2 linked regions of the Diceros bicornis minor genome follow. The main gene of each other region encodes a partner of the protein of the gene in region 2 in a complex. Links are inferred from orthologs where the notes say so. Each region holds a gene or a part of one and is shown on either strand. Other genes may lie near its edges.

What was found.
Region 1: LAMTOR5 (region 2) and LAMTOR3 share a complex: the UniProt entries of both Homo sapiens proteins name them as parts of the ragulator complex. The link is inferred for Diceros bicornis minor from reciprocal best matches to the Homo sapiens genes LAMTOR5 and LAMTOR3.

Annotation. Positions count from the first base shown.
Region 1 is NC_080747.1:82,607,735-82,620,230, forward strand, and holds the start of LAMTOR3 (ragulator complex protein LAMTOR3), read right to left. Parts: upstream 4,573-12,496; 5' UTR 4,480-4,572; intron 4,211-4,479; 5' UTR 4,174-4,210; coding exon 4,165-4,173; intron 1,322-4,164; coding exon 1,287-1,321; intron 1-1,286. UniProt on the Homo sapiens protein: As part of the Ragulator complex it is involved in amino acid sensing and activation of mTORC1, a signaling complex promoting cell growth in response to growth factors, energy levels, and amino acids.
Region 2 is NC_080743.1:43,421,764-43,433,316, forward strand, and holds LAMTOR5 (ragulator complex protein LAMTOR5), read right to left. Parts: upstream 5,026-11,553; 5' UTR 4,953-5,025; coding exon 4,918-4,952; intron 3,953-4,917; coding exon 3,891-3,952; intron 1,956-3,890; coding exon 1,838-1,955; intron 889-1,837; coding exon 828-888; 3' UTR 551-827; downstream 1-550. UniProt on the Homo sapiens protein: As part of the Ragulator complex it is involved in amino acid sensing and activation of mTORC1, a signaling complex promoting cell growth in response to growth factors, energy levels, and amino acids.

The sequences.
Region 1 (12,496 bases), on a different chromosome or scaffold from region 2:
GAAGCGGAGTGTGCAAACCTAATCACTATACCACCACACTGGCCCCTGCAAGGTTTTAATGTTTAGACAAAATTTTTTAAAGGTCACAAAACAACTGTCATTTTTCCCATTGCTTACTAAAATTGCTTTGGACACTTTCAGCTTGTATGGCCATTTCTATGCCCCTGCACTACTGCACAAAGTAGGACTGCCTGTATTGGTAATCATTAGGTTGAGAACAGAATCAGCAGCTTGCCTTTGTAGTTTGCCAATACTAGGAAGAGAATAAAAATGAATTTAAGTATTGCATTAACAAGAAATCAATGGTAACAATTACTTAACACTTCAATAGTGTTTTCTTCCTGAATATAAAAGAAAAATATAGATATAATAAAACCAGAAAATAATGTCATTAATTTCTAGTGGTCTGTAATCAGAGTAAAGGCACAAGCTAACTGGCAAACCCCACCAAACAATTCAGGCAAAAATCCAGAGTGTTTTTTTCCTACCCACAGAAATAAAGTGACATCTAAAACCTTTTTAACTTCAAACAGATTTGGAGGATAAGAAATAAAAAAAGGATCTCACATCACATATTCTGCTATATTACCTCAAACGTTATTGAATTATTCTGGAATGTGAAAATGGATGTCTCAAGTTATAGTCCTCTCTCTCATGCCCTTAACTTGCAGGTATCATTTTTACAGTAAACTAAATATGAATTTTAATTCAACTAAAGTGACAGTCCTTTGAATCAGTAAAATATCTAAAAGGAACTGTGCTGTCCTCAACACAAGAGCCTAATTTATAAAATGGTGCATCAAATGGACTGTATGCAGGCAAAAGAAAGCCTTGCGATTTTTCCAAGTATGAACTGCTGTCTAAGTCTAGGATTTTCGGGTTACAAAGACTCGGCAATTAGGTCTTAAAATCAATATTAAAAGTAAAGGCAAGTTCTTAAGGTTTTTCCCTTACAATTACCCTACTTCAAAGTATAATCCAGTAAACTGCTATGATAGTATATTTGAAAGAACTCTAAAATCGGCAAGAAATCTGAGCTCTACCCCTCTGGCATTCACTAGCTGTTTAACCTTAGACAAATCACATAACTTCTCTAGGCCTCATGTTACTTACCTGCAAATTCAATGGACATCTCTTGTGCTACCTAGGGTTATGTTAGGTATTTGAAAGTGCTAAATAATAGCATAATATACACATAATATTAGTCTAAAACAGAAACAAAATACTACATAAAATCAACATATGTTATGCAGAATTTATTTAATAACAAATTAGTAATTTTTTACCTTGGTAATTTTTTATACAGGAATCGCTTTAGATCCTGAAAGAGAATATAAAAAATCAATACGCCTTGAACTGGCTCTCTAGATACTGTCCTATCCACACTCCAGGTACCTTAAGTCATCACTCACAACCTTTCTTGCTTGTGTTCTTTCTGTTTCTGATTTTGACACTTACTAGTTGTGTGACTTGGACAAGTTAACTAACCTTTTTCTCTAAGCCTCAGTTTGATTATTTGTTGAGAAGGGATAATCATAGAACATGTCACACGATTGTTTTTCAAGTTTATTGAGAAGATGCATGTAAAGTGACTTGCATATCTGGAAATGGGAAAGACAAATACAGATTAGCTGTAAAATTAGATGATAATTTTCACACTATTTTACAACCTGTTGCTATTGTTGTGTTCACTTGAGAATATATTGTAAACATCTTTCCATGTCCATAGACAGACTTTCTAACATCACTTCAATGATCCTGGGTAAGTTAATCAACTTCTCTGAAACTCAGTTTCCTCACATGACTAAAGATAAATGATAATGTGTGTCAACTGTTTAGCATGGAACCTAATTAGAACTAAAGAAATAGAAGACTATTTTATGTCTCATCTCGCTCTCTCATCTGGGGAATTTCATTGACAACCAGGTATCAATTATGAGCTCCACACAAGTAAATCAGATATTTGTCTCTAATCCCTACTATTCTCCAAATCTGAATGTTCATTTTATTTCATGTTATCCCCACCAGCTTATCTCTGCTCTCATCTTAAACACACACAAAAAACTCATTTTGTTTTATCAGAAATCCAGATTTCCTCAATCTCTTCTTGTTTCCACTAATGGCACTACTAATCCTGTTATTTGGGTTTAAAACATAGAGTAATATTTAATCCTAACCTCACGTGTTACTTTTAAAACACTTGTGAAGTCAAATGTTTTAAAACTGATCTCTTCCTTTTTTCAACTGACATTATAATTTAGGTTTATTTTATTATTTATGATTGGCACTAGCCTCCCAAACGGTATGCTGGTCTCCCGTTTCTATCCCACATAGTTCTACACAATGCTAATAATCACATTATTTTCTTTCTCTAAAGCCATAATTGCAGTGCTTCTCAACCCTGGTTATGGAAAACACTTGGGGAGCATAAAAATAAACACTGATGCCTGGGGAGGTGCTCCCCAGATGATTCCCTGTGCAGCCAAGGTTGAGAAGCAATGTTTAAATGGCTCTCCACTGTTTACTGAACTATGTACAAATTCTTTAGACATTTGAGGCTCTCTACGATAAGGTCTACAACTAACTTTACAGTCCTGCTTCTTACCACTCCCTCACACATATGCCCAGCCCCAGCCAAAGTGGACTACTCACAGGTCCCAGCTCCTCCACACACACCTTTCCCTTTCCTATCCCTCTAACTTTGCTTATGCTATTCATTCTACTAGTGACACTCACCCTCTCAATCTTACTTTTAACAAAATTGCTACTCATTATTTAAAGCTAACCTCAACCACCAAATACTCCAAATAGGCTTTCCTGATAAAGACAAACCAGATATAATTCCTCTCTCCTTTGTATTTTCACACTATAATGCATGCATATCTAAGTACTTTTTTTTAAACTTTAAAAACCCTTAAGAAGAATTATACCTTAATCATCTTTATTCCACCCACAGCCCTTATTACAGCAACCTTTGCAAGGCAGATGCTCAATAGATATTTAGTGATTTGATTCTGCCTAAAAAATAATAAGGTCTCAAAAATATAACGGGGGGGGGGGGGGCCAGCATAGTGGTTAAGTTCCCGCACTGTGCTTCAGTGGCCCAGATCCCGGGTGTGGACCGACGCACTGCTCATCAAGCCATACTGTGGCAGCAACCCATATACAAAATAGAGGAAGATGGGCACAGATGTTAGCTCAGAGCTAATCTTCCTCAGCAAAAAGAGGAGGCCTGGCAATGGATGTTAGCTCAGCGCCAATCTTCCTCACAAAAAAAAAAAATATATATATATATATATATGTATATATAATGTAAGACACCCAAAAATGGAGTGATAAGGGCATAAAAAGTTGCTAAATGTTGAAACACAACCTTGTAACCTAAAAAGAAAAATCACTTTCATATTAATGTTGAATGACTCTTTAGTGTAGTCAAGAGCATGGACTCTGGAGCCCGACTGCCTGGGTTGGTATCTTGACTCCACAACTTACTAGCTGTATAACCTGAGGCAAGTTACTTAATCTTCTGTGCCTTAGCATTTTCATCTGCAACACAAGAATAATAATAGTGCTATCTCATAAAAGTTGTTGTAAGAATTAAAGAGTATATGTTCAATGTTTAGAATACCCAGCATGTAGGCAAAATAATAACAGGATGTAAAATATAAACATAAACAGTAGTAGGAGTATTAATTCTCTGCTGTTCCTAGTAACTAGTACAATTAAATTCCCTAAACTTAGAATTTCGGTTTTATCGCTGTGCTTTTAAAGAGACATCAACTAGAAATCATCTCAAATTGCCACAATGAACCGAGAGAGACATCATGACCACTTGCTGGAAAAGAAGATTCAGAGCAGCAAACCATCGTTTAGAAATTCAAATAGTAAACATTCAGAGCCCCTCTTCCGCCCCAGAACAGGGGAGCGGGAAGAATACAATTTTCCCGATCTCAGGCACCTGAGTGTTCCTCCACCTCGACTCCAGCAGGCACTCAGGACCCCGCGAATCTATTCGTATTAGTCACTCGCTCCAGATTCCGGAGGAAATAACGAGGGGAGCGCTAAAACGACAGCAACTGCTACTTGGGAAGCGCTACCTCTGCGCGCCCGGGAGCCTCCTCCGAACGCCCACCCTCTCCTGCCCCGGGCGGGGCGTTAACTCACATCCGCCATGACGAGCCCCTTCCTCCCGCAGGGTCCAGCTCCACGCCTGGAAGAGAAGCTCCTGGTGACTCTCTGCCCACGGCAGCCTCGCCCTCCCCACCCCGGCCTAACGAGCGGGGCCGGCGCTCGGCAGCCCAGGCGGGAGGGCGCGGCTCCGGCCCGGACCAGGAAGGCCGACGGGAGTCGGAGCTCCCAGACAGCCGCCGGGACGCCGGGCGCCCCTCTCAGCCACTCCACCCTCTTCCCCCGAGACCCAGGCCCGAGGGAGAGGGCCAGGGGCCCGGCACTGGACACAGGACAAAGGGCTCCAGTTACCTGGCTTTCTAGGCTGCCCGGTCCTCTCCGCTGTCACTTCAAGAACAGCCTCAGAGACAGCTTCCTCGGAGAGCCGTCGTCACATGATTTCTGACGGCCTCTGTGCTCCAGGAAGCAGTTCCTACGCCTCCGACCCCCGGGGACCTGAGATTTCCGGTGGGCGCGGCCGCACTGGCGCCCCGCCCTCCGCGGGCTGCTGCCTGCGCCTGCGCAGACGTCGGGACGTCGGCCGTTGCATAGACGATTCTTACGAGACCGCCGGGCCCTAAAGCCCCCCGGATAATGCTTGCAAGAAGACATTTTTTGTGCGGAGAGGGTGCATAAATTTCATTAGCTTTTCAGGGCGCGTTATGTGAAAACTTCTTGTAAGTAAAACAATTTGAAGGGATGGTGTTACAAGCTGAACAGCAAGCAGCAGATTGCCGGTGATCAGAAGCCCAGGTCAATCGGTTTCTGACCCCAACTTCCTAGTCTCTGTTGGTTTTCTCCTGGGTGCCACCATGTGCTCTCACTCAAGGCTTCGTCAAGACTGGATCGAGGAGCTCTGGGCTGTGTGGCGTTCTCTCGGTTGTGTGTGCACCTCCAGCCTCCACTTTTAACACATGCAGATACTGGACAACCTTCTTTCATTGGCTCTTGACTTAGAAGGTTGTGCCTTCCAAGGACTGCCCATATTATTTTTGGTTTGGTGCCTTGCTGGTTTGCACATTTAACACAAACTTACAGTAGGTGGTAGGAAAATGAAGTCTATGGGAACTTGCTTACACTGATCTTCAGCTCCAATTCCTAAAAATAGGAGTGCAAAAGGAATTAACTCTAGCCCAGACGTGGTGAAAGAGTTGGATACTTAATTCCTAGTTCCTTAAGAGGATGAAATGGTAAACTACAAAGCTTTCAAGTGTTACAAATGACCTCCTAATCGTTACAAGTGAACTTGGCAGTTCCATGGCAACTGACATCATTGAAGATCAATTTCCTTTTTCTTATTTAAACCTTTTCATTTCTTAGCTTCTGGTACACTGCACTAGTTATTTTAGGTCCTCACCCATTCTAGTCTCCTAACTGTTTAGATAATGGCATTTAAATCTCATCTTGGATTTCTCTGCTATTTTTCTCTTTCCACTGAGAATGCGAGTCTTAAATCTGTACCTTTCATCTGAGCTCTAGGCTCACATTTTCAGCTGCTTGTTGGATGTTGGATATTTCCACATAACATGTCTTACTGTCAGCTCTAACTCAAATGCTCTAAACACTTCTCCGATAAACCTATTTCTCCTTATCTGTGTCTGCGCGGTTCCATGATTCGACTAGGCAAGTATCACGTTCGCTTTTTCCTTCTTCATGTCCTCTGTTCTTCCCTGAGGGCGATTTTTGCATCTATATTTTTTCAATTCTTCATTCAAACCATTATTCTATTCAGCAAGACTATATTAATAGCTACTTAATAACATCTAGATAAACCTTCCTAAAACAGCACACATTACTGCTGTTGAAAAAATCTTGAGTGATGTACCACTGCAGACCACGATACGGTTGAATCTTTGATCTGACACTAACTAACATCTTCTGTTTTACTTCTGAATGCATTTTTTTTTTTTGGTGAGGAAGATCAGCCCTGAGCTAACATCTGCCAATCCTTCTCTTTTTGCTGAGGAAGACCGGCCCTGGGCTAACATCCGTGCCCATCTTCCTCCACTTTATATGGGATGCCACCACAGCATGGCTTGACAAATGGTGTGTTGGTGCGCGCCCGCGATCCGGGCTGGTGAACCCCCCGGCCGTGGCAGCGGAGCGCGCACTTAACTGGTTGCACCACTGGGCCGGCCCCCTGAATGCATTCTAATGTGAATCCTATACTGCAGCCAAAGTGATTACCTCACCCTGCCATCAACATGACTTTTATTTTCTCACACTGCTTCTGGAGGTTCCTTTAATCTGAAATGTTTATTTCTCTTGTAGGGGAGGAAAAACTTCTTTCTACTCTTAGGTTCTGTGGCTGGGCCTAAGAAGTAAACTGACACAGAGAGATTAACAGAAAAACATGCAAATTTATTTAATATTTTTACGTGTACACAGGAGCCTTCAGAAAGAAAATGAAGATCCAAAGAAGCCGTTAGGCCCAAAAGCTTATGTACCTTTCTACGCAAACAACAACAGACTATGGGGATGTCACAAGACAAAGAGGCTTGGGCTAGGGGCAGTAAATTGTGGGACAGTGACTTTGAAATATATGGGGGAAACTAATGGAAGGGCTATTTTAGTAGGTTTGTTTGTACAGGTCCATTTTGGCATCAGTCCTGTCTCTGTGATAAGAATGTTCTCTGCCCGATGGAGGGAGGACACCTTTCTCACAGGAAATTTTATGACCTGCTTTTAGGTAAAAAAAAAAAAAAAAGGGAGGTCAGAGAGCCCTTCTTGTATCTGCTGTTTCTTAGAGCCTTCAGCTCAAAATAATCAATATGCCCAAGTGGCATATATTGGGGTGGCGTATTCTGAACCCCTTCACTCTCCACCTTAGCTATGTAAATCTTGTTTCCCTATAACATCTCCTCACCCGTCACATTCTCTTGAATGCTACTATCTACTACCAAGAATGACTGATAGTTGTGCATAAATATGTGTCACAGTTTTGGTTTGTTTTCCCAATGAGACCATAAGGTCTAGAAGGCTGGGTCATGTTGGAGATTTTTTCCAGTTTCTTACAATGCCTAGGTTTCTTGCACTCAGTAGGCACTCATTCAACATTTGTGGAATAAAAGTGATTAAAATAAACCATTAATTCAGGCCCTAACTACAACTTCTTATGCGCCCCACCCCTCTACCATTTGCCCCCAAGGTTAGAGGCAAATAAAACTATGAACTCTAGTAAGAACTTTTAATTTCTGGAAGTGCTACTTTTCATTTTAACAAAATTCTCAATCTTAATGACCTAAGTAGTTGACCTGGAAAATATTTTTTTTCTTCCTTTTGAGCGGCAAAAAGGGAGAGCATTGCTTGCCAAGCTCTCCAAACATCATGTCCTGAAATTGAAAGAACTAATAAGATTTCTAATTTCCGAGTGTGGTGGTTTCCAAATTATGGCATGTCAGTGGGAGAGTTCCTTAGGTACTCAGATTGATCCGTTCACTGCTTTTGGTACAGGACTAGGGGAAATACCGACTGACCTAAAAGATTATCAGCACTATGTACCAGTTCTCCAAAGTACGGAGCACCAGATGATCCCAGAGGTTCAGGAAGAAACTAGTAGAAACTGTACACACACACACACATGCACACAAAATGTTTATCTCATCATTCAAATTTCTAGTACACAGCATACTAGTACATTATATAAACATGTACATGTTAAAGTTCTTTTATTGGTTATATCAGAGCCTTTGTTTCTGCATCTCTTTAGCTTAAATTTCTCTTAGCTGTTGTATACAGCAGAGATTTCTCAATTTTTCTTTGATTCTGCTTTCCTATAAAAAAAATCTACAATCATCTGGGTTTAGGCTGGCTCCATTGTCTCTGTGAAAATTCTAGTTGGTAATCAAATTCATATGGAGAGGAGAGTCTTACTGATTCTCCAACATACAAAAACAAAAATTTTATCACTTAGACTGGCCAAGCTAGAAAATGTTTTGCTAATTTTGATTCTGGCTGTGGTTTGGGATTTGGCCCATTGGGAATACAATTGTAAGGTCATATGCAGTAACCTTCTCTTCTATACTACTTCTAAGCACACCCTGGACTCAGGCAGTCACCTCAGAAATCACTAATTCTGATCTCTGGCTTACATCCAATAGTCAAGCATTGGAATCACTCGTCAACATCTTAGCCTCCCCTACCGTCTTTCCTACCTGACAGAACTCCAAATTTGGATGAGTTAATTGAGTTGTATCTCCATGCCTATGCCTAAGCTGCTGGATTAGGCTGGAGAAAATACAACTAAACAGACTGTAAATTCTGTCACCAACCGGGGACCCATAGAAATCCTGCTTTTTCACTAGTTAGCTGACTCAGTGAAAATAATTCCTTCAAATTGTCTTCTTTCTAAGCATCTGCTTATCATTCTTTCCCCTCCCCCACTTTACATAAACTGCCTATTTCCATCAGGAAAATGCAAGCCATATAACATCTTGCCACCAACACTACAAATCTACCTGCATCTGCACCCATCCTCTGTGCATTCCTTTCTGAAAGAATGCTGGTGGCGTCTCTTAGCTAAAGGAATTCTTCTATCTTTGCAACGGCTCCTATATCCTTGGGACACATCAGGTACTTACCGCTATTCCTCTTTTCTCTATCTTTACTCTTTCACTTTCTACTTACCCCTTTCCATCAGAACAAAAAAATTAGTAAGATCTCTCATATAATAGATAGTAAAGTCTCATGTAATAAATAACAACTGAAAAAATAAAAGCTTTCTTTAGCAACCACCATACTCTTCTAGCCCCCATCCTTTTTCTCTACTCCGTTTCACAGCCAAATTTTTGGAAAGTTTTTAATATTCCTGCTCTGGTCCAAGCCATGATCACCTATCCTTTGACAATAACTTCCTATCCTTCCTACATTTACTTTTGCCCTTCAGTCTTCTCCACACAGCAACTAAAACGATATTTTAAAAACTCAAATCTCATCATGTAACTCCTCCTCAAAAATCTCAAAGGTTTTCTATTGACTTAGGATAAAGTCCAATTATCGTCATAATGGTTTATATATGGTCTATGGGATCTGGCCCCTATCTTATTTTAATTCTCTAACTTACCTTGGCTTCCTTATGCCATAATCAAACAAGTTTGTTTTCACTTTCATAAAGTTTCAATGACTTTGTGAACTTCGCACATTGCCTGAAATATTTCTCTAGCATTCACCTCACTCCTACTTACCTCATCTTTTGGGTTTCAGCTTTAGCTCACTTTTTCAGAGAAACCTTCCCTGATGCCCCCAGAGTAGGTTAAGTCTTCTAAATACATCCTTTCATTGCACCTTGTAATATTCTTTGTAGCATCCATCATAATCATAGTTAGTTATTTACTTGACATTTATTTTCCTCGCTACATGTGAACCTCATGAGGATTTCTGTCTTGTTCGGTGGTGAATTCCCAGCACTCTGCTCACCACCTGGGATAGAGCAGGCATTCATACATTGGTTGAATGGTTGAATGAATGAAAAAAAAAGGGCATATTAAGAATATAAAACATGACAAAAACAAATCCTTTACAGTGAGAACACACCTTCTTTTTATTCATATATTGAGATAAACTGCAGAGACTGAAAGACACAAATTCATCATAAATCATTCAGAAGAACATTCATGAAAAATCAAATGCATTTTTTAACAGAGTTCTCACACAGAAACTTTTATTTTATATAAGTCTGATATAACACTAAATATTTTACAAATCAGACATTTCATTTTTAAATCTAATTGTATAATCTTAAATGCACTATAGACAAATAAAGTAAAGAGCTCCTTTACCAGTTTCACTCATTTGACTTATACAAGGCTTCCATTAAAATTCTATCACACCTTGAAAATTACCTGCAGCTTTTAAAAACACATGATTTAGGGCCGGCCCCGTGGCTTAGCGGTTAAGTGCGCGCGCTCCGCTGCTGGCGGCCCGGGTTCGGATCCCGGGCGCACACCGACGTACCGCTTCTCCAGCCATGCTGAGGCCGCGTCCCACATACAGCAACTAGAAGGATGTGCAACTATGACATACAACTATCTACTGGGGCTTTGGGGGAAAAATAAATAAATAAATAAAATTATTAAAAAAAAAAAACACGATTTAAACTTTAAATGGAAAAAAAATTTATGTAGCAATCCAGAAAAACAAAGACAAAACAAAAATAGGTAAGAAGCATTTCTTAATACAAATAAATCACAAAATATCATTTACGTGTGATTTTCCTTCTTCTCATTGGTACCACCATCCAACTCAAAAACAATTCATTTTGAAACTGATGCTTAAAATATTCCAATGTCACTGAAAAATCTCTATTACTTAAGTGGTGCTATTAAATGGCAAAGTAGAATGTCAGATTGGAATGTACCAACTCCTGTGCTGAAGTGAATGAGACTTATTCACATTCATGCCAAGTGTCATCTACTATGCAGTTATTAGACAGCTCAGCAACCAGTAATCCCAATTTTTAATAATAACTTACTAAACTAAGACATTTCAAGAAACAGTTCTTACCCCTACACATTTCCAGATTGCTATAGAAAGATACACTTATAGTTGAAGTATAGGCTCTATAATAGGAATCTGTTTTAAAATATGAAAAAGATTAACAGAAAGAATTCACATCAATGAAATTCTGTGGACTGATTTTTAAAGTCAGAAATCAGAATATCCACCACTAATGGAAGCCCTGCTCTGTGCAAACATAGTGTGGTATATATTAAACAATCACGCATTTGAGGTATTAGCTGGAAAAAAAATATAGATATATATACACCTATACACGGACACATCCACAGAATATTCACAAATCTATTGGCCCCAAAACCAGCAGATAATAAAATTAAATGAAAAAGAATCACGTACCAACAGGAAAAAGTTACACACAGGGAATTTATAAAAAAATGTGGTTGCATGTAATCCTTAATTTAAGGAGTATGTTTTGAATTAACGTTTTGAGGGAGAATGTTTCCATTTATATGAAAGTGTCTGTTTAATAGTAGTAAAACCAAAAAGGAAGCCTGAATTCTAGGACTGTGTTGCCCGCCAGATTATTAAAGGGATATGCAAGAATTCCTTGAAGATCCTCATTCTACTCACTTTTTCTTTGTAATTAAAAAAAAATAATTTTAAATTTTGGAAGTTATTGTTGGAATACTCTTCTTTTTCATTGGTTTATAGAAAATTTTAGATTTTAACTAGGCAGTAGTCCAATGTGGCCAATAGATAAGGATTTTCAGCTATTTGGTAAAGATTAAAATTTAGATTTATTGTTCAGAAGTTTTTCTGTTCAGATAAGAAAAAGGATTATGACTGCCTTTTCAGTTTGCCTCACTCCATACGAAGACAGAGAGTAATATGAGTAGTATTACACCTGAGCTTCATATGGGGAAGCTAAAGGAATGCACAAATCCTCCTTCTGAACCATCTGGTCTCTTGACATAACACTTAACTGGAAAGATGGCTCATTTGGTCCTCAGGCCAATGTCAAGAAATATTCACTGCCTTAACACAGGTGGGAGATTTATTTTTTTAATGAAATATGTAGGAATACACTATTAAGTAATATTAACATGTCACATTTGTTAAATAACAGCTGCATTTAAAAATATTACTGATCAACAAAGGGAAATCAAGAGGTTAATCATGTCTCTCAGTAACTATTTTACATACTAGTGTAACTGAAGATTTAACAAGAAGAAAACTTAAGCATAAAAGTGCAATTAAATAAAGGGCTAGAATTCCACATTCCTGTTCCTGTGAACACCTGAACTGACACAAAAGCAGACTGGCTTAATGCACTGGCATATATATGCCTTAAGGACTTACTTTTCTCTACCAAATCTTTCTAAGTCATAAATAAGAATGTAATGATTATGAAACAAATAACTATTTAAGACTCAAATGCAATCTGTTCTCAAAATATATTGTTTTCACTTATTAAATGGATTATAACTTGAAATTTCTCACTGTTGAGAATTAAATTCTCACATTTGATCAAAATAAATTCTGAAACTTACAAATGATTAGCACCAGTCTATTTGGGAACTAAGGAAACAAAAGACAAGGAGAAAAGGTACTATTTACTTCCCCCAAATCCTCACAAGGACAATGACATTTGTGTATGTTAAAGCATTAATAAATATAATTGTTGCCAAACTTCTAAAATACCAGTTAGAGAAGCTAATAAAGCAGTACTCAAAAATTGAGGGCTTTTAGGCAATGACTAAATGAACAGTACAAGTTATCAAATGAAATTGCAACGCTCACGTAGCCAAAAATAAGATGGCAAAATGTTGAGATTTTTATTATAAGAGTAGCAAACATGAAAATCTTACTACAT
Region 2 (11,553 bases):
GTCATGCGTTGTTTAATGATGGGGATACGTTCAGAGAAAGGGGTCATTAGGCAATTTCGTCATTGTGGGAACATCACAGATTGTACTTACACAAACCTAGGTGGTATAGCCTACTACACACCTAGGCCATATGGAACTAATCTTATGGGACCACTGTCGTATATGTGGTCAATCATTGATTTAAACATCATTATGCGCTGCATGACTATCCATGCTCTGAACTGGAATCTAAAGTCCAAACTGTGACTCTGCTAATCCCTTAGCCTGTATACAAATGCAAAATGGGGCAAATAAGAGTACCTACAACATAGGGTTGCTAATGAGAATTAAATGAGTTCCTGGCATACAGTAAGTATTTAATGATATAAAAGGTATTATGTTATTATTATGGGGTACAAGTATACTTGATTTTTTTAAATATCCATGGACACTTCTGTGAGAATATATGTACTTCAGGAAGCTTCTGAAAGAGTAGAGAGTAGTTTGGAGCAAGGACCTGTTTTAAAAAAATTACAATTTGATAACTGAAAAAAGGAACATTTGATAAGAGTTTAACAAGCTTTCCTCCAACCAGATTTATTGAACATAACAAAATTCTATATACAAAGTGACCTGGACCTGCTGCTTCAAAACATGATCCTTTCTTAACTACTAGTCCACAGTGTCATAGAGTGTCATAACGCAGCTTAATCTAAAATTAGTAGAGAAGTGCTCAATGCACATTAAATGAATGGCCTAACTACTGAAACTTCAATAGTTCTACAAGATAATTAACACAGGTAGGATCAAGTCCCTATGACAGGCTGCTGGAGAACTGACAGGAGACGTCAAGAGGCCATTTTGTGCACTGCCACTGTGATGCCGTCATGTTTCTGGATCATAATGTTCCTGAAAGGCAAAGCGGAAGATATTCAGTAAAACGTTACACGTGAGAATCAGTGTTAAGATTAAAGATGCTGTTTGGTTTAGGACACAACTAAAAAAAATAATACTTATTTTTCTATGTATAAAAGCAATATATGAACACAACAAAACACTTGGGAAATACAGAAAAGTATAAAATAAAGAAATGAAATGAATCCTATACTCCTATCACCCAGAGACAACCACTACTACTATTTTCATTTTTCTTTTTGCTGAGGAAGAGTTGCCCTGAGCTAATATCTGTTACCAATCTTCCTCCTATTTTTTTTTTTTTGCTTGAGGAAGATTAGCCCTGAGCTAACATCGGTGCTAATCTTCTTCTATTTGGTATTTGGGTCACTGCCACAGCATAGCTGACGAGTGGTGTAGGTCCGCGCCCAAGATCCAAACCCATGAACCTGGGCTGCCAAAGCAGAGCGTGCTGAACTTAACCACTATGCCACGCACCAGCCCCAATATTTTCCTGTTTTTTTATCTGTGTGTATACTATCTATACGTTTTTTTCTCTTTTTACAAAACTGTGATCATACTGTGCCTAGTTTTGTATTCTGCTTTTTTACATTTACTATTATTCTGAGGACCCTCACTTGGAATATCTTTGGTATTTCTATTACTACAGAAGTAGTTTCTGTTCTTTGTTTAGTCTTCCTCTGTGCTATTTATTACTTTCTTTTTCTTGACAGACTGATAGTTCATGACAATTCTGACTCTTCATTTAAATGTCATTGTGGTCTGAAAGCACATTAGCTTCACAGATCAAATTTATCTGCTCCTGTGCTCCAAAGAGTGAAGATCCTCCCTCAAAGTACTTTGAATGAGGAATCACTGATGAACACAGGGCAGGCCCCTGTCAAATTTCCCAGGGATTTTCTATATAAAAAGGAAGGGAAGGGATCTGCTGACATCTACTTACCCGTTATCTGATTCTAGACACACCACAGGAATATCAGTGGGGTCCGAGGTTAGCTTAGCTGCTTGCTGGGCTAGAACAGATATCACCCCAGCATGCTCATCTGACAGGGTCCCACGACCTGGAAGACAGAGATGAGATCATGTCGCCTGATTGTCCAAAAATGAGTATAGAGCTATAGTAGTATCTCTCATTGATTATTCACAAAAGGCGGCTCAGTTCATGGTCTCTTAAGTTAGGTACTGACATGAAATGATTTTGCCCTGATACTCAGCTGGTTACATCATTGAGAAAGCCAGACAACAGTTCTTAAATCACTAAATTCATAACAGACACTCAATTTTCAAAGTCATTCCCATCACCATCTCTAAACACCTTCTCAAGCATATAAGGAAGCTGTAATTCAAGTCAATCTGAAAGTCATAAATTCATTTTACAGGAACCTTACTGAAACCAACAAGAAATTCAGAGGCAACACTGACAAACAGCAGTCAATAAGGGCAAGAGGCTTGTTGAAACTAATTAATTCCTCATAGGAAATCTGACTTCCTTTTATTGAGCTCAACCTCAAAGGATATAAAAGTCTTTACTCAGGAGTTCAGCTGTAAGATCACCTTGACAGCACATGGGAATATTCTGTGAGCAGTTATTTCCACCCGAATAAGGTGGGTGTTTTCAAATGTCAAGAGAAGTGGCTTTTTATTAATGTTTCTTTTAGCCTGTAGATAATAACTAACTCTTGGGTCCCAGGTACAAAAGTAATCATGAAGTTTACTTTACAATATTATTTCTGTCTATAAAGGCAACCCAAGCCTAACTGCCTGACATTAAGGCAGGTAAGAGCCACACCATTATGGCAGAGTCACAGATTACTATTGTTACAGAAAACATTAACTAGCCAGACCCAGTGCAGTCTTTCAGGCCTTGAAGGTTTCTTGAAAGAACTCATTTAGTTTTAGACTTCTACACTTGAACTTCAGCTTCCCAGTTGTGAGCTTGGCAAGCGCCTCAAAAAAAATCTGCCTTTTTTTTTCAACTGACTGATTTGTGTGTAAAACGTAACTGGTTACACAGATTACCTCTTTCAGTTACCCTCCCAGCTAAAATTCAGTGCTTTAAAAATTCCTGCAGCAGGAGCAAGGAGTCCTGGTTTTACTAGTTCTGAGATTAATTAGCTGAATGCTTTAGATATTTACCTTTCTGGATTTATTTCCTCATTTGTAATTGTTACCATTGATTGGGCATTATATCTGGGTGTTTTACACATATTATATAATCTTATAGTATTGTGATTAAGAGGCTTTGGAGCCAGACTCAAATCCTAGCTCAACCACTTACTAGCTGTTTGACCTGAAGCAAGTTACTCAACCTCTGTGCTTCAATTTCTTTATCCACCTCACAGGGTTGTTATGAGGATTAGACTACTTAGTATATGTAAAGCACTTAGTATGGCGCCTGGCACATAGTAAGAGCTCAATAAATATAATTCTATAATTATTATCATTATTAAACAACAACCCAATAAGAAACTGAGGCTCAGAAAGGTTCTTTTTGGTCCAAGTTCACAGTATTGGCAAATGCAAGAGCAGAGGGTTGAACCCAGGTGTGTCCAACTCGGAAGCCCCTGTTTTTACTGCCTACTCACTTAGGGTTAAATGCAGCTAGACTAAAAAATAGCACCATGCATCTTGCAGGGTGACTGTGAAAATCAGAGATAATGTATATAAAGCCTAGCAGTCCCAGCATACATTCAGTAAATGTAACTGCTGTCATTATCTGAAGTCCTTTCTAGAGCCCATTTAAAATGATTCCAACACAATTTTAGTAGCAACAACTGTGTGGCGCTAGAACTGCACAGAACACTTCCACCTTCATACACACCAACTGAAAAGTTTTAATCTAATCTTGTCATTTGGAGATAATCTCTATACTCACAAAAGTACCCGGAAAGTGGCAGGGTAACAAGAAATAAAAAAGAGAGAATAACAGCACGCTAGGCTCCCAGTCAACATCAAATGCTGTGCAATCCACCACAGGGCTGGCGTGAGATACTCACAGCCCAGATTCAGTCCTTGTGAATCTGTGCAAAGGACTCCAACGACGGATGGATTCTTCATTCTAATTCCAGGAACACAGGAGGAATGAAGCAGATGATGTGAGAAAATGAATTTAAATAATTATAACAATACATACAGGGTTTCTATGGACCAGGCAATGTTATAAGTGCTTTAAGTCAGTGTTTGTCGATCTTTTTTCATTATCACCCCCAGCCGAGAAAAATTATATTTTTCTTATAATTTATAATTTCTTATAATTTTATAATTTATAATTTATAAATTATATTTATTATAATTTATATATTTAACTTATATTAGCTAATATAAGTTAAATAGTTAAACCAATTTCTCTATGATGAGAGAAAAGACTGTGTCAGGTACTGTTGAGCTTTGGAGAGACACAGACATTGCAATTTCTAGGAGTTTGTTGCCCTCGTTAAAAATGCACGCTTTAGCATACAAACTCATTTAAAACTGTTGAAAGACTTAAGTAACACGGGTTGCGTCTTGGAGGGGAAGTGGGAAGCTGAGCGGCACTGGTGCGAGGGAGGTGTTTCCCTGTACGCCTTCTTACACTTTCCCAATTTTGGATTTTACGTAGCTATGACTCGTTTGAAAAATTTAAGGCATGTCTTTCATCTTCTTAAGCACCAAGTAATTGGTTACACAGGAAGGGGATACGTGCGTGTGTTTGTTTACATTGCAGGGCTCGACTTTGCACAAGTGGTTTCCCCTAAATTAACCCATTTCCTAACACTCCTGAAGAACAACTCTGTCCATATAATCTCAGTAACAGGACAGGCGGTTTGGGCCTTGGGCTTGGCCGCGGAGGCTCGCTCCCTCGGGAGGGTGCGGAGCCCCAACGGGATTCTAATTCCGGGTCAGCAGCCTCCCCGAGGCCCGGGGCAGGGATCACCGCCTCACCCCCCGTTCTGGGCGCCGCACGGTGTCCCCGAGTCACCCTTTGCCTCGCTCAGGTCCTCTCGCCGCGACCTCAGGACAGGCCGAGGAGGCCGTCTTACTCACGTGTCCTCCAAGTGCTGCTCCAAAGTCGCCTCCATACCGCCCACCGTCCACCCTCGCCCGGGAGCCGCAACCCGTCGCGTCCCCCTCCGCCTCAGGTCCCGAGCGCTCCTCGATCACGTGACACGAGCGGGGCGCACATTGGGACGGCGCCTCCAGAGGGACAAACTTCGCTGCGCGCCCGCCGCTTTGAATACAGGAAGACGTCGTTCCGCTTCCGCCGCCCGAGCCGGGCCGAGAGGTGTGCTGCCCGCGCTGTGACAGACAGGTGACCCGCGCCGGGATCCCCTGCGGAACCAGGCGGCGCGGGTTATGCCCCTCAGGAGAGGGGTCTGCAGCCAAGCCTCGGTGCCTCGGTTCCCGGCCTGTCACTTTGTCTCAGTGACGTAAACCTTTGGATTCCGATTCAACCGACTCCGAAACGTCGGGCCAGATCTTGTTCAGGTTTTAGAGTAGTCCGGCCGGTCAGGCAGGGTCTGATCCAGGCGGTGGGGCAGGGACAGAGAAGAGAGACACAGAACCCCGGGGAAGGGGTCCACAGGCTTGTAGGGCAAAAGACATGCACACAGGGACTAGAGGACGGGATGGAACAAGGTTAAAACCCAAGCTGGGGATCGGGAAAGTGTCGGAATTTTAACGAAGACATTGCTTCTTAGTTTGGTGAGGGCTCAGGAAATTTTGAGAAAGAAGGTGGCACTTGTAAAGACGACTGAGTAGGACTACTTAAAAATAATTTAAAAAAGTTAATTATAAACGCAGTTGTAAAAGTAAGGAAAGAAAGCCACCCATCGTCTCTGTCCAGAGATTACTATTAATCCCTTGAAGAGTATCCTTCCAGCCCATTGTTTTTGCAAATGGATAATTTTAATGTTTTTTCTTTTTTAAGCAAAATGGACACATACTGGCCATACAATTCCTGTAGCTGTCCTTTTTCACAGAATTTAGCATAAATGTCTTTCCATGTCAATAAGTATTCATTTACATCCTTTGTAATAGTTACAAAATATTCCTTATTATAGCTGTACCTTAATTGATTTAACCAACCCCTTATTAATGTGCAGTTGGGTTGATGATTTTTTTGAGAGGGAGGCTATTACAAACGCTGGGTGAATATCCTTGTAGCTAAATATCTGTGCAGTTTAAGATTTTCGTTATGATAAGTTACTAGAATGGAATCACTGGGTCAAAGGATGTGGACATTTTCAAGACCTTTGATATGTACACTTACAAACTGCCCCCCAGAAAGGTGGTACGAATTTACACTCAGATTCGTAGCATTTTGACAAAAATGGGAGTATGTCCATAGGTTCTCCCATCCCCCATAAGCCTCTACCCACTCCCTGCCCTTAAGTCCTCCTAACATCACTCTTAGATGTACGATTTCTCCAACCCTCTCACCTCCAGCTTTTACTCACAGTCTACCTTCTGGTCTGGGGCCCAGCTTTAAGGCTACTCTGGACTTGAATTCAGTCTCTCTCCATTCCCTAGCTCTAATGGTGAAACTTGCAGCTTCCTTAAAATTCCAGGCTTGAATGTTGTAATTCAGGAGTTTTGGACTCCTGCCCTAGAAAAATTGTTTATGTTAACTTAGGGATAACATGATGGGCCATTTAAATTTTAGGAAAAGCAGTTTAAAACTACCCTTAAAAGACAGCTTTAGAAAACGTGAAGAGCCAGCCTCCTTTCCGCCGGTCCTGCCCGAGGAAGCTCGACGCTGCAGTACCGCCCCCTTGTGGTCCCATGCGGTGTAAAGTTTTGCAGGGTTAGGGCTTCTCTGCTCTGGCTTTTTAACCTCCAGGGCAGTGACGTCCAGTCGAAAGATGTGTAATGTGAGCCACATCTGTAATTTTAAATGGTCTAGTAGCCACACTGAAAAAGTAAAACAGGTGAAATTAATTTAATAATATATTTTATTTATCCAAATAATATGACCAGAATATTATCAACATGTGATCGATTAAAAACAATACTGAGATATTTTACATTTTTTCCTCTGTACTAAGTCTTCAAAATCCGTTGTATATTTTACACTGACAGCACATTTCAATTCAGACTGACCATATTTCAAGGGCTCAATAGCCACGTGTGGGTGGCGGCTGCCGTATTGGCTACTGCAGCTCCAGGATACCTCTGATTCTCTCAAACCCAGATCAATGATTAAAGGATTCTCAGAGAAGCCGGTGATATCTTTTTAAACTGTAGGGAAGACCTCTGAAGGGAAAATGTGCAAGCTGGAAGAGGATGACCGCTGGCCCACATGTCCTTGCTGCACCGGAGGTGGGAGGGCAGGCTACATCACACTACCCCTGTTTCTCTGCCCTGTTGCTGTTTTGCCCCTGCCCAGATAGGTAGAGGGAGTGAGGCAGCTTATGTGAGCTGGGGACGTCCTACGGGCCGGGGTGATGGTTGGAGGAGGTGTCTGACCCCTAATTGTTTTCTACTTTCTTCAGCTTGTAGGATATTTGATGGTACTTTGGTCTCAGTTTTGTGTACTGGTAACAACTTTTAGGGTGACGGGAAAAGTCCAATGACACCCATATTAGAGTACTTGCGTCATTGTGTTGTAATTTTTTGTATGTTTACTTTTCAAGGACAGGAAGAGCATTGTCTCCATTTCTGCATCCTGACTGCTGCAGAGCACTATAGGAATCCAACTAATATTTATTGAAGAATCTCGATGGGTCTTGGGGAAAAGGACTCTGTAATGTAAAGAACCTTTAAGTCCTGAACTTTAACCACCTTTATCCTCTTCTTTCTCCTCTCCTCCATAAACAGGCTCTTTGGAAAATGAAAAGCCCAGGCAGGTCTGGCAGAGAATGCCCATGCCCACATGTCCCGACTGGGAAGTGGGAGATGAGAGGCCAGGTGGGTGGAACCAGGCCTTGTAGGTCATCTCACTGCTGTTGGCCTGAGACCCTAACCCCTCTTCCTTGACCTGTCAGGAGCTGAATCCTCCTGGGGGGTCGATTTAAGAAGTGCCACTCTGGGAGAGGGCATAGCTCTCCTCTGGGTGCAGAGGACTCTGCTACCCCAGGATGGACCCCACTGGTCACTCTTTCAAGTGCTTAGGGTCACAGGCCTGCAGTTAAATGAGCCTAAAGCTGGGCTGGGAAATGGGCCTTCACATGCCACTAGGGGGCACCAAGGCCATGGAAAACTCCACTCAGACTGCAGGATCCTAGGTGAGGGAAAGGGCCCACAAGTCTACTGAGCTGGTATAACTTGGTGAGGATAGCAGTATGCTAGGTTGGTGGCCGCGGAGTCAGACAGAGGTAGAATTGAATCCTGGCTTGGCCACTGCCTACACTTGTGACTTCTGAGCCTCAGGGGTTCATCTGTGATATGGAAGTACCATTACCTGCCTCATCAGGTTGTGGGGAGGCATTATTCCTATTTGTATGAGATATCTTATGTAAGAGGGGCTGGTACATTGTGGGAGTCAATAACTATGCTTTGCTAAATCTGAGTAAGAAAACTTGTTTTTTTCCTCAGGTTGCTTACAGTCTAGAGGAGGACACACGTGAGAAAATAACTAACAGTTCAATGAAGGTAAGAGCCAAATGATTACTACAGACCTCAGGCCATCCAGTGTTCATGCAAGAGTCAGCTCGCAGGGCTGGAGTTACACAGCTGCTCTATAAAGCTGTCTTAAATGACATAATTAAATATGTTTTCTTACACTTTTCTATGGTATAAAAATTATGAAATTTAGTGAGAAAAAAAAGTCGCCTGAAATCCTAGCCCTAAGCCTGATGACATGAATGTGAATGATCTGTATAGAATGGGATAGGATCTGGATAAGGTAGAGGTGGGGAAAGGCATGTCTCAAGGTTCACAAGAGTCTTGCCAGCTAAAGCTCTCACTCCATGCGAGCTACTGGACAGGACACCGGTGGATGGGGGCATACCCCTGCCTTCTGATAGTGGATACCACGTGAGAGCTGAGTCCTCCATCCAAAGCCTGACGCCTAATGGTCGTAATAGCAGTAATACCATTAGCAGTTCACTTACACGGAGTGACAACTGTGTGCCAGGTAACTCATGGGTCTTGTTAGTCCTCACAACCTTTTTGAAGTAACTACTGGGCCGGCCCCATGGCTTAGCGGTTAAGTGTGCGTGCTCTGCTGCTGGTGGCCCGGGTTCGGATCCCGGCGCGCACCGACTCACTGCTTCTCCGGCCGTGCTGAGGCCGCGTCCCACATACAACAACTAGAAGCACGTGCAGCTATGACATACAACTATCTACTGGGGCTTTGGGGGAAAAATAAATAAATAAATAAAATTATAAAGTAACTACTATCACTATTCCCATTTTACAGTTAAAAACACACCTGGGGCTCGGAAGATCAATACTTGCTCAAGATTACCCTCCACCCTGTAAGTGGTGAAGCCTCACCATTTACCCAACTCCTATGCTGCCTCAACTCTCACTTTATCAGTAACACAATCCTAGAAATGTGAGAGGGTTTTGGAGGCCCAGTCCAGATCTCTTATCTCTAGAGAAAAAATCTGAGGCTCAGAGAGAGGAAGTGGCTAATTTGGAACTTGACCTTCAGATTCTTAGCTTCCTATCCAGTGTTCTAACAATGTTGTGCTGCTAGAGGCTGTCTTAGAGCTTTAGTTAAACCAGTTTCAGAGACTTTCAGAAACTCTTTGTTATGGGTTCAATTGTGTCTCCCCAAAATTCATATGTTGAAGTCCTAGCCCCCAATACTTCAGAATGTGACCTTATTTGGAAATAGGGTCTTTATAGAGATAATGAAGTTAAATGAGGTCGTTAGGGTGGGCTCTAATCCAATATGACAAGTGTCCCAATATAAAGGAGAAATTTGGACACAGAGGCATAGAAGGAAGACAGTGTGAAGAGAGAGAGAGAAGATGGCCATGTACAAGCCAAAGAGAGGCACCTGGAACAGATCCCTCTCTCTCGGCCCTCAAAAGGAACCAACCTAGCTGACACCTTGATTTTGGACATTTAGCCTCCAGAACAGCAAATTTCTGTTGTTTAAGCCATTCAGTTTATGGTACTTTGTTATGACAGCTCTGGGAAACCAATGTATTCATATATCTATAAAGTTTACAAGTCAAAGTCAATGTCTGTGATTTGGCCTTAATTAACAGGAAAACTGGTTGAGAGAGTTATCTTCCCAGAAGCAGGATAGAGCAGATAATCTTTCCAGCTTGCTCCTAACCTTAATACTTGGCTAAGGTATTTTTTTTCCATTGGCTAACAGTCGTCCCATGACCCAGTTAACTGTGACTTTCTTGAGTCTGTTTTGTATCCCTGAGCCTGGTCTACAGAAGGTGCTCAGAAACTGTGTGTAGAGGGAATGAGTGGGCAAATGGGCTCCTGGCCACTTGAATCCAAGCCTCTCCAAGCATGAGTTGAACAGGGGAATAGCATACAGGCTGTCAGAGGATAGAAGTTGACATTAGGCCCTGCCTCCTAAGGTTTATAGCTGAGCCCTAATTCTGGAATACATATGCAAAATATATTTTAGATCACTCAGGGTGGGCTAAAGAAGTTCCAGTTCGGGAAGCTATTTTCCTGCTGCCTTATTAATTTTGCTGTTGAGGATAAATGAGGTGCAGACTTCCATATCCAAGTCTTCATTAGATGTCCTGTTAATGCAGCCATGATAAATGGGAATGAAGCCTTTATGAATAAAAAAGAGATCAACCCAGTATAAAAGATCATAGTCTAGGGAAAAGAAAATTTAGAGGAGCTGATAAAATACCCTATCCTTAATTGGACTGTCTGCATCACACATCAAATCAGCCTTAATGCCAAGATTTATTCGCCTTGGAATTGTGTAAATGAAATAAGTGCTTGAAAATGAATGGAGAAGAAATTACCTGTGTTAAAATGTATTTGCAATGCAGGCCTGCACGTTGATGCTTTTAGTCAAATGCAGACTTTCAGCTTCTTTTGCTATGCCTCACTGTCTACCTGGCACACGTCCCCTTAGCCCTTGGTGGGTTTCAGAGAACATGTTCGTGGGCCAACAATATGTACCGTTGTCAATAATCTCTACCATTGTCCTGGAAAAATCCTTCTTGGACAGTGAAATATCTTTGTGTCTTTATTTCACCATCTATGAACTTAGTAAAATGTCCCCAGTCCTTACTTCAGAGTAGAGAAGGTTGTGAAGACAAGACGACCTGCCTAGTTTGCCTGTCCCGCCGTGGAGGGCAGAGTGAAAGCTTTCTTGTTGACTGCCACCCCCTGTCTTGGAATCCATGTTTAGCTTCAAGAGCTTATCTACTATCACAATATTTAATTAACCTCTTGTAAGACCTTGGACAAGTCCTCTAATGCCTTGATATCTCAGGTTTTTTCCCACTATCAGTGAAGATAAGAATAGTAACTGCCTCATGGTGGCGGTGTGAGAATTCCATGGGATAATGCATGTAAAAGCCCCTAGCACAGTCCCTGGGACCATTGCAAACACTGAACAAATGAGAAAGATTGTTGCTAGGACCTCAAGAAATGAGAGCTGGGGCAAATTTGAACTAGACTATCGTTAAGAGTTCTTAGTTGCAAGCAACAGAAGCTGAATCTGGCTTATGGGCTAGGAAAGGAAGTTTTAAAATGACATTGGGTAGCTTGTGGTTACCCCGTTGTTGGCAGGGCTGGAGA